2 linked regions of the Tribolium castaneum genome follow. The protein of the gene in region 1 purifies or fractionates together with the protein of each later gene. This does not show direct contact. Links are inferred from orthologs where the notes say so. Each region holds a gene or a part of one and is shown on either strand. Other genes may lie near its edges.

What was found. The genes of interacting proteins can lie anywhere in the genome.
Region 2: the proteins of NKAP family protein CG6066 (region 1) and CkIIbeta purify together in Homo sapiens (co-immunoprecipitation; 3 studies listed by BioGRID and IntAct, counting the BioPlex papers as one, with this or other methods). This does not show direct contact. The link is inferred for Tribolium castaneum from reciprocal best matches to the Homo sapiens genes NKAP and CSNK2B.

The regions. Positions count from the first base shown.
Region 1 is NC_087400.1:4,954,142-4,957,039, forward strand, and holds NKAP family protein CG6066, read right to left. Parts: upstream 1,550-2,898; 5' UTR 1,458-1,549; coding exon 558-1,457; 3' UTR 505-557; downstream 1-504. Other genes in the region: waprin-Rha1, read right to left, coding at 1,653-1,795, 1,843-2,068. UniProt on the Homo sapiens protein: Acts as a transcriptional repressor. Plays a role as a transcriptional corepressor of the Notch-mediated signaling required for T-cell development. Also involved in the TNF and IL-1 induced NF-kappa-B activation.
Region 2 is NC_087397.1:979,779-983,663, reverse strand, and holds CkIIbeta (casein kinase II subunit beta), read right to left. Parts: upstream 2,512-3,885; 5' UTR 2,368-2,511; intron 2,160-2,367; 5' UTR 2,156-2,159; coding exon 2,084-2,155; intron 2,034-2,083; coding exon 1,931-2,033; intron 1,881-1,930; coding exon 1,689-1,880; intron 1,640-1,688; coding exon 1,450-1,639; intron 1,178-1,449; coding exon 1,069-1,177; 3' UTR 565-1,068; downstream 1-564. Other genes in the region: mitochondrial import inner membrane translocase subunit Tim17-B, read left to right, coding at 1-65, 110-463. UniProt on the Homo sapiens protein: Regulatory subunit of casein kinase II/CK2.

The sequences.
Region 1 (2,898 bases):
CGTTAGAAGCCTAAAAGACAACAGACAGGTTCTTCTAATTGATGTGAGGAACCCGTCGGAATTAGCGCAAACTGGAACAATTCCTGGAAGCATCAATATACCTTGTAAATACCCTAATTAACTTATGAATTAACTGCAAAGTACTTCATTTCAAGTGGCCACTTTAGAAGAAACGCTGCAGAACACAAGTGATGAACAATTTCGTCAAGTTTTCCGAAGAGAAAAGCCTACAAACACCACGCCTTTAGTTTTCAGTTGTCAGTCGGGGCGGCGGAGCCGAGCTGCGCTAGATTTAGCCAAAAATCTGGGATACGTAAAGTAAAACATTCGTTTTGTTCCGTCTTTAATTAAAGTCGCCTGTGATTTTTAAATTTAGTTGGCAACTAGATGTTGCCAACTTAATTCGAAATCATAGGCCACTTTGACCCGAAATTTAAGTTCAATTTTCAGCGCCAAACATTTCCCTGGGGGATGGACCGGTTGGGTACAACAATGTAAAACAAATTAAGTAATAAAAAAACTTTATTTATACGTAATAAACACTCAATTCTACGAAATTAATTTTTCTTTTCGGCCAGTTTGGAGTTGACCATTTCCCTGAACTGTCCCAAAATCCTGTTCTCCCTCTTCTGCCGTTCTTCTTTGCTGAACATGGCCAAAGCCCGCTTCTCATCAGCTGAATAAATCTGGTTTTCTTTCCGTATCCTCACAGCCTCCATTCTCCTGTGTCTTGAGCCGGACATGACATAACCCACGGCTTCAAAACTTTCAATTTCTTCAGACGTGAGTCCAATTTCACCTCTTCTTGGTATCCGTTTTCCTTCGGCGACGTACGCAGCCATGGCAGCCCCCTCACCAGGGAGCAAAGCCTTGCCCATTTCCTTGTGAGTCAGGGCGGCATGGGGCTTCAAAATGGGGCCGACGATCACCTCTTCGGTCTCTTCCGCATTGGTTTGGGGTTTGTTGGTGGTTGTGGTCTTCTCGACCCACTCTTCCTCCCCTGAACTGCTCTCACTTGAAGACTTCTTCTTTTTCTTCTTCTTTTTATGCTTCTTGTGGGATTTTTTCTTTTCCTTCTTCCGTTTTTTTAGCTTGGGGGCGTTCTTGGTGACGTCTTCGACGTCACTGTCGGAGTCTTCGGGTTCGGGGGATTGGCCCCAAATGCTGGGGTAATCCCTCATTCCGAGGATCTCACGCTCCTGGCGTCGGGACTCCATGAACTCGTCCTCAAGGTGTTTTTTCTTTGTGACTTCATATTTGTCGTTTCGTTCAAAACCGTTTGTTGTGGTGCCTCTGGATCTAGACCTGCGTCTGCTGGAATGGCGGTCTCTTGACCTGGAATGAGACCTGGACCTGTGTCTCCTATTACGATCATTTTTAAACGATCTATCAGTTTTGTGTCTCCGGTGGTCCGGGGAACGGGACCGACTGCGTCTGTGTTTTGCCACATCCATCATTTCGTAAAAAATCAATTTTTTTACAATAACATAACCTTTAAAAAAAACTGTCAAACTGAAGTCACTTTACGTCATTCCCATAAGCTAGAATTGACATTTGCTCAAACCATTTCAAATTTTAAGGAAATAAATAAAACACAAAATGCGTCGATTTGCTAATTTTTATTCATACAACGATACTACAATTGTAACTGATTAAAATTCGGGTTTGGTGCAAGCCATGGCCCCGCACCGATTCCTGCAGCACTTTTTAGCCCCCCTGCAGTCCGAGTCTAGGGCACACCTGCTGGAGCACACCCAAGGGCCTGACGGTGCAACTGGACAAGACCCTTGTTTCTCTAAAACACAAATTAATTTTCTTTAAAAAAAATTGTATCCATTTCACCTCCTCTTTGAATTCGCCTCGTTGTTACAGGGGCCGTACAAAAAGTGCCGCCACAAGCCGTCCGGCAGCATTTGAAATGGCCGGCACAGTGGTTGTCTTCGAAACAGGCCACTTCACAGATCCCCACGTTGGGGTACGGGGGGCAGTCTCCCGATTTTGTTCGAGGCCTTTGGCCGTACACAAAAACAGTTAGAAGGGAAAGGATTAAGAAAAGTTTTGCCTGCATTGTTAACACTTGTAGGGCTTTAAGATGAATGGAATTGGATGTTGTGTAGGTGCAAGAGTCGAAGAAACGGAAACCACAAAACGACAAATTGAAATTTTGATTAAGTGTGCGGATTTAGGGCGGATGTGGGGTTCCACTGCGGTTTGCGCAATTTAGTAATTGGTTGAAATCTACAAAAATAGAAAAAATGTATTAAAAATTACCCATTTTTATTATACTTGTATTAATTTACTACTGTTTTTTTCTTCAATTCCTGCTGCTAAACAAAATTAGGTCAAAAATTTTAGTTTTTTGAGCGTTTCATCGCGTTTTCAGTCAGAAAAGCGTCTGCTGTGAGTAAAGTTTTATCAGAGAAGTCACACTATTTCAATCGTTATACAGTTTCACGTTTAAGACTGTAAACAGATTGAACCAAAAGTATAACAACAAAATTCACATTTAGTTTAAAAACAAGCCACCTTAAATATCTTAGTAAAAAAAAACAAAAAAAATAAAATTTTTGAGACAGGTCAATTTTTATTTAAAAAGAAACATTTAAAAAATCTCTTATATTTATTTATATTTATATTTATATTTGATTTAGTTATTTTTTTATCTTACTCAATATAATAAAATGGTCGATTGGTAAATTTTTTCTTATTTGAATTTTTCAAAAAATTTATTAATACGTGTATTATACACGTAATCAATAACAAACAAAAATTTCGAAAAAAACAATTTTTGAAAACGCTTGGTTCTATACTTCCGCCAACGCTGTATAAAAAATGCAAGGTATGATTATAAATTATAAAACGACCGAAAAAAATTGTTTTTATTACTATATTATTTAG
Region 2 (3,885 bases), on another chromosome or scaffold:
GCGGCGGCGTTTTCCAGAGCATTAAAGGCTTTCGCAACGCCCCTTCGGGTTTCAACAGACGATTTGTATGTGCCCCCTTTCACAAGCCCGTGGTGATTTTGCGTTTTAGGTTGGCAGTTTGGCTGCTATCAAGCAACGGTCCCCTATAATCGCCGGCAACTTTGCCGTTTGGGGCGGCATGTTCTCCACAATTGACTGCGCCCTAATCCACATTAGGAAAAAGGAGGACCCCTGGAACTCCATTATAAGTGGGGCCGCGACTGGGGGCATCCTCGCGGCGAGAAACGGGCTCCCGGCCATGGCCGGGAGCGCCTTCATTGGGGGCGTTTTGTTAGCTTTAATTGAAGGAGTCGGGATTTTGTTCACTAGGTTGTCAGCGGAGCAGTTCCAGCCGCAGATGCCCCCCATGGAGGACCCCTCCCAGCTGAGGGGGCAACAGAACGGGGGCTACTCGTTCCAGTAGGCGCGCGTGTGTTTGTAGATAAATTTTTGTTTAAGGCGTAAATATAAGTTTATTTTGATCTGTGTTTTATTTATGTAATGGGTCAAATAAAGATTCTTACGAAAAACAGAAAATTTTATTTGATAACATGCGAATTCATAACTTAGTCTTGGTTGTGATTACCTTAAGTAAAAATACAGAACCTAGGTTTGCTTCCTATGTTTTATTTAAAATGTGTTATTTATACATCTTAGATTACGCTGTGTGATTGAAAAATTCAGACTTTTGACCACTCTATTTACTAATTAAGCTCAGGCATGACACACCAACTCATCTGAATTTTTTAATCAGTTATTTACAAACTTGAATGCTAGTTAATTTTACACGAAACCGGTGACGCTTCTAAATTAAACTATCCTTACATTTATAAAAACAAAACTGGGAAATTTATTATACATTGAACCCTATTTATAAAAATGATGGAATTTTTGCACATTTTTAACCTTATGCAAAGTTAACGCCATACAAAAGTATGAAAGAAAATAATCAAGATTTAATTTCATACATACAAGAATACACAAATTTGGGGTAGAAATAAATTAAATCAAATGTATACACCTTTTAAATTAACGTTTACCATTATTAAAGTTCAAACTTCTCAGAGGCGCCTTAAAAGTCGAGGCTGCTTGCTGTTGCAACTGGTAAGCAAGGGGATGAATTTTAAAACCAAATAACCTGAAATCATTTGTTGAAGAACAATTCTAAAAAAATCAAGTGAGTCTAAATAAAAGCGGGGTCAAGACAATGCTTTAAAAACAACGAAATAAAAAAATGACTAATTTTTCGTTTCGTGTAAAGTTATTGAGGATTATTATACGTAACATCCCAAAAATTCCGAAATGAAGTAGGTTTTGACTTCTCAGTTGTCACTTGATAACTGACAATATTAAATTCGCCAAGCACTCTTGACCAGACTTTCAATTAGACTCACGCCAGTTCGGCTATACCTAGGAACAAATTGATTTGTTGGACGCTTTGGCCTGTATTCTGGGTGCACCATGAAGAGCATGTGAGGGAAACCTGTCCCAAAATAGGCCCCATCTGTATGGTGGTGCCTTGAAGACTTTGGTGTGTACACATCCATACATTTGGGGCAATATGACTTGACCATTGCCTCCCCAGGTACATCAGACAGCCCTAAAGCACAAACCATTACCCAAAAAAATACCAAAAGTGTTGGGGTTACCCAAAGGCAGCATTGCCTGCGATTCGCAGTAAACTCGTGGACAATACCCAAAATCCCCAGACTGGTATTTTTCAATCATTTGGGCGATCCCCCGATTTGTTAAAATGTACCTAGCGTGTATTAACCCATAAAGCATCTCGGCCGCTTGCTCAATCAGGTCGGATTGGTTCGGATTATCGTCAAGTTCATCATCTAAAAAGCCGAGTTAAAAAAATGTGAAACCAGGGATGGGTTCAAAATACCCGGTTCTAAGTCTAGTATCATATCAAGAGCTTGCCTGTAGTGCGGAACTTGCTCATTCAAGCCCGTCAAGTTAAATTTGTCCTGTATATAATCCTCATCCACCTGCAAATACACTCAAAAATCTCGTCTTTAAAACAGGCAAATTCATTTACTTCGCAAAAGAATTCATTTCCTCTAAGTCCGCAAAACCATGAAATCCACGAAACCTCCTCTGAGCTGCTCATTTTCCTAAAACATTTCCGATTTATTTAGAAAATTGGAATTTTGAGACGGTTGTGGCTGTCCAACCCTATGTTTAGATTACGTTTAATGACATTTGTGACACAACTACGACGTTAATTTCCCATTTTTGGGCTTAGAAGGGATGTGGAGGGTTGGCAAATGACGAGATTAGGGCTAAATTGTGATCGGGGAAAGAAATATTTGAGAATTTTACCTCTTTGTACCTTGATTAGCCACGCTTACGCTACTTCATCTACGCGAAAAAAGAGTTGATGTTGGGCTCATCTAGCGGAAAGTGACGGCATTAAATGACAGCTTTAACCGCTAAGTTTGAAAATTACAAGTGGGATTTTTTAACTACAGTTAAACCTCAGAACGGCGTGCACAACTTATCACACACGCAAACGGGGTTGCATCCAAGAAAAAATCAAAAATAACTCACCCTCGCGCTCACCCTGTATTTTTTTCTATCCATACAGTAGTATTAATTAATCAAAAATATTCACTTATAAAATGTTTTTTTTATTTTCAATACAATGTACCGTTATCAAAATTTCATATCAACTTCATTAATCAACATATTATGTAATAACTTTTGCACTTTTGCATTCATGTGTGTCTTAACTTATTAAATGAGACTTTTTCCAAGATTTTTTTCAACTTGGCATTTTCAAAATAGGCAGTTTAAGACTCCGCCCGGCATTATAAATCTTCTACAATCTTCTACATTAATGTATTACTTCTTTTCAAACCTGCTAAGAGCGTTTTTTAACATCAGCAATTCTTCTTTCTCCAAAATTATTATTATTATTATTATTATTATTATTATTATTATTATTATTATTATTATTATTTTTATTATTTTTATTTATTTTTTTGAGCTCATTAGGATAGCTTTTTAGCTGCTTATTAAAGTTTTTTTTGAAAATGTTCAGCACGTTTGTTGCAACTTTTCGAAAAGTGTGGATGTGTTTCCAATAAAAATCTCTGTATAAACACTATAATTTTTTTCTGAAAATAAAAATGACCGATTTGCGCTCCGCTCTCTAAACATAGTCAACCATAAATAATTTTCTTTTGATGACATTATGTAACCCAAAACCGTGAAAACTAGATAAAAATAGTGAAAATCGGATCATTTCCCTATTTTTAGTTTGCGCAGACGGCCGGTCTAGTCGAAGGCTTTCCTAGGCGCCGCGACGTCGTCACCCGAATTATTAAGTGACATTTAATTCCATTTGAACCGGACAATAAACTTTTAACCGCCTATTGTTAGTTGAAAAGTGAAAACCCAATCTACTTTTAGAAATCTGCTTGCACAAGTGGGACGTGCTAGTTGCGGTTTTTGAAGACTGTTGACTCATAAATAAATTCTGGCTCTTTTGTTATCATTATTTAAACAAAGGCTAAATTACACCAAAATGTAGTAATTGGTTTATTGTGATTGTTAATTGCGAGTCAAGGTTGTAGCAGATTATTTATTGTTCGGCTTCATTCTCTTGTGCGGGAGAGTGTTGTAAACAAACAAGTGGTTATAATACATTGCATTTTCTTCCACGGTGTGTTTAGTTAATTGGAAGGTTGTTGTCGCTTGTACTGTAATTGCAGTGTTAGTGCGACGATGTTTTTCTGAAGCTGAGTGGGTATGAAAGACGGCAGGAAATTACAAAAATTAATTCAATGTCAGTGAGACGATGACGCTCCACATCTAATTTTTTAAACAAAGTTCGAG